3 linked regions of the Lonchura striata genome follow. Each later gene encodes a partner of the first gene's protein in a complex. Links are inferred from orthologs where the notes say so. Each region holds a gene or a part of one and is shown in the gene's direction. Other genes may lie near its edges.

Region 1 (3,742 bases):
TGGAAATCATCCAGAGGGCATTCCACAAATCAAAAGTATCACTCCTATAACAAGCTTCACAGACCAGTGTAATGCCATCCCAAAAACAAAGTAACTGCTTGAAGAGATAGAAAATAAAGTTTGTTTCGAGAAGGGAAATTAAATACTTCCTAATAGTAGCCTCCTCACAGAAGTGAGTAATAAGCTTCTATAGCTAAGGGTTTTTCAAATGAGGGTTAAAACTGAAAAATGCATCTGTAGGCACAGAGTACATTCACTGGTAGGAGCTTTTCCATGTGGAAGTTGGCAAGCACGTCCTCTACTCCTTCAGGCAGCAATGAGATGAGCAACCACAGCATGCCAAGCTTGTGCCGCCACAGAAAATCTCCGAATCACCCCTGTTCACGTTTGGTTTCCTACTACACCTCACACAGCTCGATATTTCGCTAAGTCTAAAGCCAGCCTTGCCTGAAGCACAATTTGGAGGGCAGCTGCAGGAAGCTGGACATGCCATGGACAGAGGCACCGTAAAGGAGGGGACACACACCGCCCTCGCACTCTGCACAGGCTCTGGTGGAGAGCATAGGACTGCTGGGGTAGGGGACAGCAAGCACCCACCGAGGGCTGGTGCCCCTGCTGCTCACAGGGCCCACTCTACAGCTGAGATATTCTGCTGCACTCCACTCCCTCCCAGAGAGAGGGAGGGACCTGTAGGGTAATGCCCGCCATTCCACACAGCCCCCACACGGAGGGTGCCCCATCTCCCTCGGAAGCGGCGCCTCAGCGCGAACGGGATGGTGCTCGACCCCCTTCCGCTCCCGCCATTGCGCCTCATGCACGCGCCCGGGGGCGCCCAACGGCCGCGCCGCTCCCGCCCCCTCCCGCCGCAGCCCCGAAAGCCGCGCTCAGGCGCGCGCGTCATGCCGCCACCGCCGCCGGCCAATGAGAGCGCGGCCAGGCCTGCGCCCGCGCTTTGCGAGCACGGAGGCAGGGCGCCCCTGAGTGACAGCGCGGCTCGGCCTATCGGGGAGCGGCATTCCCCCCCTTAGCGCTCAAAGCGCTGCTGGAGAGGGGGCGGGTCCCCTCTACTCCCCTCCCCGCCGCCCCCCCGCCCCTCGCCCCCTCCGCCGCCCCTCGCCCCCCCGCCCATCCGAGCCGCGCAGCGGATTGACAGCCCGTCTGACCAATCACCGTGGCGGCCGCCTTCGCGGCGGCACATCCCGGAGCCAATGGGAGCGGCGGCTGGGCGGGGCCCCCGAGGTTTCCAAACGCTCCGCGGCGCCATGGGCTGAAAACTAAACCGAGATGGAATCTCCCAGTCTGAACCGGTTTGAGCCGGTTCCGTGCCTGTGGCATTAGGAGGGGGAGACGCGCCGCGCTCAGTCCCCGTCGCCGCCGCCGCGTGTGTGACCTGCTCGTAGGGGACCTGTAGCTGAGGGGGCGAAGTTTAGTGCGAGCCGCGGGGGGGGGGTGGCGGGAATGGGGGCGAACTGAGCGCCGGGCGGGGAGGGCGGCAGCCGCAGGGGCAGCGAGAGCCGGCGGGGCCGGGCCTGGGCGGCGCGGGAGGCGCAGCCGGGTAGAGATCCCCCCACAACAGCGAGGTCGGAGCGCCGCGCCGGCCGCTTTCCCGGGGCTGTGGGGAAGGCGCGGAGCCGAGCGCGGAGCCCCGGGGGCAGCTGCGGGCGCCTGGTGCAGCCAGGCCGGGCACGCTGCGAGGGGAGGAGTGGCGCCACTAACCCCGACCCACCACCGAGGAGGGAGCGCTCGCCTTCCCCCCCACCTCTTGCCGTGGTGGTTTTTTCCCTCCTTCCGCGCTGTTTTTTTTTTTTTTTCCCTCCTTCCGTGGTCTTTTTATTTTTTCTTCTTCATTTTGGGAAGGGATTATTTTTGGTGGTCTTTTTTTATTTTTTTTTTTTTTCTTGTGGTGTGTGGTGGTTAGAAACTTGGCTCGCTCGCCCCTACTTTCTGAAGGAAGAGGCTGTGAGAAACCCCTAGGTAAGCGAGGGTTGTGGGGGTGTCGCGATGGGCAACGCGGAGGGGGCAAAGGGGGGTATTTTGAGGGGCAGAACGGGGGGATGTGCCCGTGCAGGGGGCCCCAGTGCCTGGCCTATGCTAGGAGAGATGTGATGGACCCCGTGGAGAAGCCCTGAGGGGCGGGGGTGCGCTCGGATGGGGTTTGGGGTACGAGCATCCCCGGCCTGGCCGAGCGCAGCCACGGATGCTGCGGGGGATGCTCCTCGTTAGGAGGGGCCCGGGCAGGCTGGGATCGGGTACGGGCAAACCCGGCGACATAATCTGTAAATTATTAGGAGTGGAAGTTTCCAGAAATATTTTTTGTGTGTATGTTCTGTGCAGCAGTATTGAAACGTCCGCCTGGATCACGTGGGGAGCCCTGTATAGCGCGCAGGGCTGGAGCTCAGGGGAGAAGGGGGAGGAGGGAGGGGGAGGCTGCGGGGCCACCGCGCTCCGCAGGGCCCCGGCCCGCCCGACCCAGCCCCGGGCCCTTTCCCCGCCGGGAGCCGGTGCCCCGCCGGCCGGAGCCGGGAGCGGCTACCCGAGAGCTGGGCGCTGCCCGCCCAGGGGCGCTGCGGCAGGAGCCGGGGAAGGCCGCGGCGCTGGGTGGTTATTTCCAGCCGAAAATGAACGCTCCGAGGTGTCGGTCAGATGTTGCTTAATCCGTCTCGTCCTTCTTCACGTGTGTGTGTGTGAAGGAGCAAAGGGAAGGGGCGGTTTCGTTGCCATTGCTGGTGTGTGGAGCGTGATGCGAACGCGTTTGTCGTGCGCTGCGTTTCATAGCCACTCACCCCTCCTGGGTGGGCTTTACAAGTGGTGCAGCTAATTCCTTGGAAGAGGGAGGAAATTCACTTGCATTGCGTGCTTGGAAATGGGGCATAGTGACTCTCCCAGGGTGGGTTTGCTTTTTTTTTTTTTTTTAGTCTGCCCTCAGTGAGCTTTAAATATCTGGGTTAAAGGGTGCTGCTGTAGGATTCATGGTAAATGCTCAACATTTCTCACTATTAAGTGCCTGCTGTTATTCCTGTGTGCTACGGGCCAAAATGAATCGGGTGTACCACAACAAGCTAACTGTTGTGTTAAAGGTCCAGGGTCATCGAGAGTTGGGATAACTGTGTAAACAGTGCTGTTAATGCAGTTCTTTTGACCTTCGGTAGATGTCACATTCTTGCTGTGTTGTAGTCGAAATTTTTTTTTTTTGGTTTGGTTTTTGCTTTTTGGTTTTTTTTTTAACTTTTTCTCTTCTGCTTCTGTTTGCTCATTTATTGAAGGACTGATCACTGGTGGTTCTTAGAGATGAGGCTTAAATGTGTTCCGGAGTTCAGCATGATGGGGGAGGGAAAAGTGTAGGAGTATAGTAAATCAGAGATTATAAGCTTCATGTGGGTAAAGGGTTAGGACTGGGAGATCGAGTTGGCTGCAGGTGGTGGTGGCCACAAAGCCGCCATTTCTGTGTTTCGGCTGGCGAAGTAGGTAGGTCATATTGAAGATAATGCTGGGAGTGGCGAAGGGCCCTATTCAAAACATTTCCTTTCTGCTTCCATGTGTTGAATAACTTCTCTCGGTCACGCTGCTCCTCCTTGGCGCTCTCGGGGTGGCCTGAAAACCGCCGAAAGAGGCTCAAGTCTGAAATGAATGGCCCTACCTGAGGAGCGACTGGTGCACGACATTTATTGTAGTTCGGAAACCGCTATCCCGGCTCAGCCATGGAGGCCAGGTGTGGACAAAAAGGGGCGTGCCTGGGAGCATT
Region 2 (3,742 bases), on another chromosome or scaffold:
ATTGGTTTTGATCCAAAAATTGCTATTATCCATGGATAAGACAATGTTTATTTTTATTAGCTCTTCAGAATGTTATGTGTAATAAATATAATTCGCGCCATTCCTTGTATGAAATATGTAATATTGGATATTTGTTAAATCATGCCCGTCGTATTAGTTTCCCCCCCCCCTCCCCCTTTACAGGCGAGACTGGATGTATATTAGAAACTGATTTACAAGTAAAAGGATGTGGCTCGGCCAGGAGATGGGCCATATCTGGGCTCCAGGTGTTGATCATCACCATCGGTGCTGATCGTCTGAGATGGATATCATGGAAATCCTTAGACAGATCCATGTGAATGCAGCCTTCCCGTAAACTCTCATCAAGAATTCAACTACTCCGAATTCAACTACTCTGGACATTGAATTATTTCTCCTCATCACCAAAAAAAGAAAATCTTATTAACCTATAGACTCTGAATAGAAGAAAAGACTAACTGCTCAAATCTTGGCCTCAGGTGGAATTTTCCCTATAAAAACCACTCGGGCCAGGATGGAGGTGTGTGGGCATAGGGGAAAACCTCTGCTGAGGCTGACTCCTTGTTGCACACCCAGGGCCGACCCCGGGCTCGGCTCTGTTCTTTCCGTGTGGCTGGCTAGATAGAATTTGACCGCTAATAAAATTATTTTTATTTTTAATCTGGCTGAATAAATTCTCATTTATAACACCAACCAAGGCTTTTTTTCCATCCTGAAGCAGGAATGACTTTGCACTCCAGGGTGAAAGCGACAGATGAGAGGACATAGCCATATGCTGTACCAGTGGAGGTTCACGTTGGCCATTAGGAGGAATTTTATCACAGAAAGGGTGTTTGAGTATTGGGATGAACTGCCCGGGGAGAAGTGGTATTGTCACCGTCCCTGGAAGTGTTTAAGACTGGATGTGGCAGTTAGTGCCATGGTCTAGTTGATCAGGTGTTGTTTGATCATAGGTTGCACTCGACGATCTCAGAGATCTTTTCCAAGCTAACAGATTCCGTGATTCTGTGAAATGCCTTCCTTAGCAGAACGGTCTGACAGTAACACGTGAGTACGAACAGGAGACCCCAGGGACATTATCTAGGCGAGGCTTCACATCAGAAAGTCCTCGTGTCCCACCTGCGGGCTTGCGGGCGCTTCTCCAGCGACACTTCCGCCAGTGGGGGTTGTGAGCGCGGCGCGGACAGAGCCCCGCGCAGCGCAGAGCAGGAACGGGACTACAACCCCCGGCGCGCCCCGCGGCCGCTGCCGCGCGCGCCCCGCAGCCTGGCGACACCGGCTGCAGTGCGGCAGCGGAGCGCGCCCCGTGACGTCGCGACGCAGCAGCCAATCCCGGAGCGGGGAGCAGAACTGCCGGCGTTCAAATCCTCCGCCTCCCCCGCCCGCCCCTCACCCAGCGGCCCCGGCGCGGCGGCAGCGGCGTGAGGCTCCCGCGCCTTCCCCGGTGGCGGAATCCCCGAGGAGGTGAGGGCAGAGGCGGCAGCCGCCGTCTCCGTTAGCGGCCGGCGGAGGGGGCCGTGCGTGCGGGGGGGCGATCCCGCGGGCTGACGCGCCCCTCGGCCCCGCCTGCGGGGGGCGCTCCCACGCGCAGGCGGGGCCCCCCGCTCGCGTCGCGCGTGTCCGGCGGCGGGTCCCCCACGCGCTCCGCTGCCCGCGCGGGGCGGCAAGGGGCGTTCCGGCCGCGTGGGGCGGGGCCGTGCGGCCTGCGCTCGGCGGCTCCCGCGGGGCAAGAGCGGCGCTGGGGGCTGTCAGCGGCCGGCCGGGCGGGCACTCGGGCTGTCGCCCCGCGCTGCCCGGTGCCCCGTGGCTGGGCGAGCAGCACGTAGCTGGTGCGTTGGTTGTTGGGGTAGATGAAGTGTTGTAACTAAAGTATGCGTCTGAACTAACTTTTTCGATCATAGGGGAACGTAAAGTTTCATACATCCCTTAAGTGAAAAGGAAACCTGTCTTTAGGCGTTTCCAGATCTTGGTTGTGTTTGCCAAACGGACTACCTCTTCCTTCTTTCCTTCTTTCCTTCTTTCCTTCTTTCCTTCTTTCCTTCTTTCCTTCTTTCCTTCTTTCCTTCTTTCCTTCTTTCCTTCTTTCCTTCTTTCCTTCTTTCCTTCTTTCCTTCTTTCCTTCTTTCCTTCTTTCCTTCTTTCCTTCTTTCCTTCTTTCCTTCTTTCCTTCCTTCCCAAAAGCTTTTTCAGCGTAAGAATTAACAGTAACGAGACCTCTGGTAGGTTGACAGGTGGGTGTGGGTGACATGTGCTATAAAACATGCTTCAGGATGTGTATGTTGAGATTAGAAGGTAGTCTATGTGTAAGGTGAAGAACAACAAAGGTGATTCAAGGGAAAGAGAAGCCAGGAGGATGTGAACATCTGTAAGAAAGATGATCATAATAGATTAGAAATTATTTTTAAGAGTAAAGTTGTTAACTTTACTCTTAAACTAGGTGGACAGGCTGACTTCTGCAGATAGTAACTTATGTTCCTATCTGGTAAAGCCTTCATGGTTTGGAGGATGTCCTCTTTCTTCTCAGTGTTGGATTGGCAGAGGCTGGGCGTGTCCATGAGTTTGGTATCTGGGTGTCTAGTAGGACTGGAATAAGCTATGTGGGTTTGATGCCTGAAGTTTTAGCTTTCATGTTTTTCAGGTTCTGTACTGCCTTAGTGTGTAACTCTGAACTTCATATAAAGTGTTAGCAAGTTCTCTTCACAGGGCAGGTAGACAAAACAATCCTTTTCCAGCCTGAGAACCAAGGACACTGTTGCAGCTTCATGCCCAAAAAGTGTGAACAACAGCAAATTGAGGAAAGCCATCTGGGAGGATGGGACTTCATAACCTGAAGCTGTAATTGGACAATTAACCCCAACATGGAAATAGACCAAAACTTATAAAATATGAAACCTCATGATCAGGTGTCCATCTTGGGTGGAGTCATGGCTGGTCTGCTGTACTGCCCAAGGTTTATCTTTTGAAGGCCTTTTAATAAACACCTACTTTATTGCTTTAACTCTGTCTAGCCTCTGTTCAGGTAGCCACAGTAGGCATCAGTTTCTTTCTACTGGCAGCAACTACTTGAGAGGATAGTCATCCTAGAAAAATTATGTTGCTCAGCCTTGGAGATTTTCACCCCCTGTTTCCAAAAGTGATATTAAAATTAAAGACCCCTGAAAAGAAGTCATACTCTGGGGAAGCTGGGGTATCAGGAGGAAAGTGTGCAGAGGAAAATATACAGTTTTCCTATAGAGGATATTTTAAAACCAGCACTATTGACCTCAAGCAGCTACAAGAGTGTGGGGTCACTTCTAATCAGACAGGAATGGAAGGGAACCAGTTTTCTGTTGCAGGAATGGAACTTCATCCCTTCTGACATCTAAAGTCTAAGTGTGGGGTTTCTAAGCATTAGTTGTGTGTAGCCTTTTATCTCAGCAGAGACAGTGGGATAAGAAATGTACTCTAGTTATTGTGCTCAATGGATGGAGGGCAGTTCCTTCAGCCAGTGATTAATATTCATTAAATAATGCTATGCAGATGCTACCAGACATGGCTAGCTTCAAATTTGTGCCTCAAGGCTAGATGCTCATTAATTTATTTTAAGTGTAAGATCATCCTGTTTAACGTGTGATGAATTTGTGTGGAACATCTGAAAGGAGAGAGCACCCAGGAAGCTGAGAGAGTTTTGTATGCAGCACACAGTGTTTTCAGCAACTCGATGGTTCTGGAACTGTGCTGACAA
Region 3 (3,742 bases), about 11 Mb from region 1:
CTGCAGGTCAGGACAATCTGGGTTATCGTAAGACAGCGACGCCAGCCACTCGTCCAAACTACGTTGCCGCAGCTCCTCTAGAAAAGGGACACAAAAGGGATCTCAAGAGGACACGATATGGCACTTCTTGCTGAGCCCAGCAAAGGGACCCGCAGCAGCTAGTCCAGCCAGCAGCCGCAGGCTTCTGTAAGCGCATTCCAGCCACAGCGAGGACACCTTAAAAGCACCACAGGCATCTTAAAAGCCATTCACTGCGGAAAACGCAGATCCCATTTACGACGCTCTCGATCCAGGGGAGTCAGAGCAGGCGGAGTGGGCCTTTCCCGGGGGGCGGGGGTGGGTGCATACCCTTCCCGGCGGGATCCGCTCGGTGCACGCCCTTCCCGGCGGGATCGGGGCCGGGCTCCCCGGGCAGTCCCTGCACGAAGGTGCTGGGCAGCAGCGCGGCCGGCAGGGGGCGCCCGCGCAGCTCACGCAGCCGGAGGCGCGCGCTGCCCGTCAGGTCCAGGTACGCCTCGTCGATGCTCGCGCGCTCGATGGCGGCGAAGCGCGACAGCACCCGCATCACCTCCGCGCTGGCCTCCCGGTACCTGCCGGGCGGCGGGCACGCCTCAGCCGCCGCCCCGCGCCACCGGGGAGGCCCGCGCCGCCGCCGCCACCCCCGGCCTCCGCTCTCACCGTGTGAGGTCCGCCTTGCCCCGTGCCTGCGGCACCCGGGCCAGCGCCAGCTCAGGGCACAGCGCCCGCGCCTCCGACGCCCACATCCCGCGGGATACGCCGAAGGCGCGCGCCTCGTAGCTCACCGCGATGATCCTGCCGAGACACAGAGGTGAAGTGCAGGGCGGGCCCGGCCCCGCGGGGATCGGGGTGGGACGAGGAGCCGAAGTCGCCAAGCCGGCTCGCCTACGTACCCGCCGCCCTGCCACTCGGTGTACTGCACCACGGCGCAAGGGCGGCCGCGCAGCTGCGGGTCGAGACGCTGCTCCACCTGCATGAAGAAGCAGTCCATGTCTACCAGGGCCACCACCCGCTCCCGGCCCCGAGACATCCCGCTGCCGCCACCAGCTCCCGCCCGACTGAGTGAATGATTGAATAACCGCCCGCTCGGTGGGGCGGAGAGCCCCGCCTCGGCCCGTCGCTTTGCGGCATCCGTATTTTCTGCGTAGGGACCGCCGGGAGTCGTAGTTCTCCAGGGCGCGGCGGGGCGTGCGTGTGTCCCCGCCGCGACGGTGCGCGGCGCCCGCGTTCGCCGTGTCCCCGTGTCCCCCAGGGCGCATGCGCGGAGCTACGTCCCGGCCGCCCCGCTCGTCCCTCCCGTGGGTGGCCGGTGGCGCGCGCCCGCCGCCGCCGCCATGTCCGCCGAGCAGGTGAGCGGCCTCTGCGAGCAGCTGGTGAAGGCGGTCACCGTCATCATGGACCCGGCGTCCACGCAGCGGTACCGCCTGGAGGCCCTCAAGGTACGGCCCGGCCGGGAAGGGCGCCAGGCTCCGGCAAGCGGGCACCCCGTCCGCACGGCCCCGGGGCGGGCGAGAGCCGGGCGGGCCGGTCCCGGTCGTGGCCTGAAGTGCGGGAGCCGTCAGCAGGCGGCGGGGGCCGGGCGGCCGCGTGTGCCCGGCGTGCTGCGCCAGGGATGGGGCTGCCACCTCCTGCCCCGGTGTGTAACTGCGTGTTCGTGTCCTGGGCCTCCCTCCCCTAGTTCTGCGAGGAGTTCAAGGAGAAGTGCCCCATCTGCGTGCCCTGCGGGCTGAAGCTGGCGGAGAAGACGCAGACGGCCATCGTCCGGCACTTCGGCCTGCAGATCCTGGAGCATGTGGTCAAGTAAGTCAGCTCGCCCGGTGCCGCCGAGCTGGGGAAGGGTCCCAGCCTGCCAGCTCTGGTGAGATATGTGCCCATTCCGGCACCTCCCACCCCAGGGAGGCATTTTCAGTACGCAGGGAGTTTGTTCTGCAGCAGAGGACAGTTGCAGTCCTACTCCGGATTTTTTTCTTATTCTGTAAAAGAGAGGATAGAATTGCTTTCAGGCACATTGGGATGGTGAATTTACTGAGCTGTAACACACATTAACATCAAAAGATGAAAACAAGCACACTGGGCTACCAGTAGGTCTTTGCAGAGTTTTGTCACTGGCCTCCTGCTAACAAAGAGGCTTTGTATTAGTTCAGTTCTGAGATTCCTTTCTCTGCTGCCTCTACAGACCTGGTGCTTTGTGCTTTTGCTGCTGCTTCTCGTGTCTGTTGACCTCGGTGGGGCATGCCCATTTGCCAGCAGCAGTTGTAACTCAGCCCTTTTATTAAGGAATTGGGTGCTGGCAGAGGCAGGGAGCTGGTAGTGTCTCCAGTTTCGGTAAAGAAGCAAATGGTTCCTTGAGAATCAAGTCAGAAATCCAGATGTTTTTACTTTATTTCTTTTTTGTTTATATGTTCTTAACAGATACCGTTGGAACAATATGCCTCGCTTAGAAAAAGTTTATCTAAAGAACAATGTTATGGGCCTCATATCCAGTGTAAGTACCTGCTGCCCCAGGCTGTTGTGAAATGTGAGAGTAAAAGTAAAAACTACTGCAGTTAATTTACACAGAGGATCTGAATTCAGTTTTTCATTTCATTGCTTTTTTGCTTTGCATCTCTGGTTGTTTCAGTGCTTTTCTCTGTCTTGTCAGGTGAATAGCCATGTTACCTCACATGGCAGGAAGTTGTGAGGCTTATATAGCGTATGTAACATACTTTTACTTTTCTTAGGAGGAAATTCATTAACTGTGGATGTTCTTATCTTTTGCAAAAATACTAAACCCATTGTATTAGTTGTTTTTTTTTCCTGTTGTGATTGCTCTTGTGACCAAGTGACCTTTTGAGGAGAGTCTGTCTATGGAGCTATAATGTTTGGGAGCATAGGAGCGTCATCTAAGGTAGCTGCAATGAAGCACTGCCCAATGTTGTGTTTTGTTTTGGTTTTAGTTTCTGTGGTTTAGAATGTTTGCAAACACTGTTTCCCAGGTCAGAGTTATAAATGCCTGAAGCTTGCTGTTCTGTGTAACAGTCCCCTTTCTGTCACAGGGAACTCAAAGTATCCTGGAGGAGGAAAGTCACATTAAAGATGTGCTGTCTCGCATTGTGGTAGAGATGATCAAGCGGGAATGGCCTCAGCACTGGCCTGACATGCTAAAGGAGCTGGATACCCTCTCCAAACAAGGGGTATGAAACACAGTTGTCTGGTCTCTTTTGCTTGCTCTTAGTGTGGGGTTCAGTCTTCCATCATCCTGAGAAAAATCTAACTCACTCATGGTCAAGTGAGACAGGTTGGTGATGGACTCAAAAATCCCTGTAAGATTATGCTATCTTGAGATGACTAGCAGAGAGGGGGCCATCCTGCTGTTTTATTTTCTCAACATGAGACATACTTCATGCATGCTTGCTTTCTCTCCACATCTTTGAGCTGGTCTCTAGAGATTTTAATGTTTGGACTGTGCTGATGGAGTGTATTTCACTTTGGGACATCAGGAAACTCAGACAGAACTGGTGATGTTCATCCTTCTACGTTTGGCAGAGGATGTAGTGACTTTTCAAACTCTACCTACCCAGCGGCGACGAGATATCCAGCAAACCCTCACCCAGAACATGGAAAAGATCTTCAGCTTCCTACTAACTGCCCTGCAGCAGAATGTCAGCAAGTACAGATGCATGGTAAGAGTCTCCTTCCCTTTGGTTTAGTTTGTGCTGGAGGCATGTAGGAATTGGGATGCAGC

The links.
Region 2: the proteins of XPO1 (region 1) and RANGAP1 are in contact, whole or in part, in a cryo-EM structure (PDB 9B62), measured with the Homo sapiens proteins. The link is inferred for Lonchura striata from reciprocal best matches to the Homo sapiens genes XPO1 and RANGAP1. Residues at the interface, in NP_003391.1 of Homo sapiens: Lys245, Ser248, Thr249, Tyr252, Lys253, Glu281, Gln282, Val284, Thr285, Leu289, Met292, Gln293, Gln296, Arg340, Asn342, Leu343, Lys514, Val518, Ile521, Lys522, Leu525, Glu529, Arg532, Lys534, Lys537, Ala538, Ala541, Met545, Phe554, His558; in NP_001265580.1 of Homo sapiens: Ala2, Asp5, Ile6, Leu9, Ala10, Thr12, Leu13, Ala14, Thr16, Gln17, Val18, Ala19, Gln22, Leu23, Ser24, Phe25, Lys28, Glu44, Arg55, Ala561, Thr564, Lys565, Pro566, Ser568, Glu571, Ser572, Ser574, Phe575, Arg577, His578.
Region 3: XPO1 (region 1) and XPO5 share a complex: the UniProt entries of both Homo sapiens proteins name them as parts of the nuclear export receptor complex. The link is inferred for Lonchura striata from reciprocal best matches to the Homo sapiens genes XPO1 and XPO5.

The regions. Positions count from the first base shown.
Region 1 is NC_134605.1:25,062,763-25,066,504, forward strand, and holds the start of XPO1 (exportin-1), read left to right. Parts: upstream 1-1,257; 5' UTR 1,258-1,381; exon of another isoform or gene 1,382-1,396; intron 1,397-1,592; exon of another isoform or gene 1,593-1,918; 5' UTR 1,919-1,974; intron 1,975-2,516; exon of another isoform or gene 2,517-2,632; intron 2,633-3,742. UniProt on the Homo sapiens protein: Mediates the nuclear export of cellular proteins (cargos) bearing a leucine-rich nuclear export signal (NES) and of RNAs.
Region 2 is NC_134607.1:58,518,469-58,522,210, forward strand, and holds the start of RANGAP1 (ran GTPase-activating protein 1), read left to right. Parts: upstream 1-1,396; 5' UTR 1,397-1,482; intron 1,483-3,742. UniProt on the Homo sapiens protein: GTPase activator for RAN. Converts cytoplasmic GTP-bound RAN to GDP-bound RAN, which is essential for RAN-mediated nuclear import and export. Mediates dissociation of cargo from nuclear export complexes containing XPO1, RAN and RANBP2 after nuclear export.
Region 3 is NC_134605.1:36,045,458-36,049,199, reverse strand, and holds the start of XPO5 (exportin-5), read left to right. Parts: upstream 1-1,254; 5' UTR 1,255-1,352; coding exon 1,353-1,457; intron 1,458-1,696; coding exon 1,697-1,818; intron 1,819-2,430; coding exon 2,431-2,503; intron 2,504-3,053; coding exon 3,054-3,191; intron 3,192-3,497; coding exon 3,498-3,680; intron 3,681-3,742. Other genes in the region: POLH (DNA polymerase eta), read right to left, coding at 1-77, 349-590, 679-813, 912-1,048. UniProt on the Homo sapiens protein: Mediates the nuclear export of proteins bearing a double-stranded RNA binding domain (dsRBD) and double-stranded RNAs (cargos). XPO5 in the nucleus binds cooperatively to the RNA and to the GTPase Ran in its active GTP-bound form.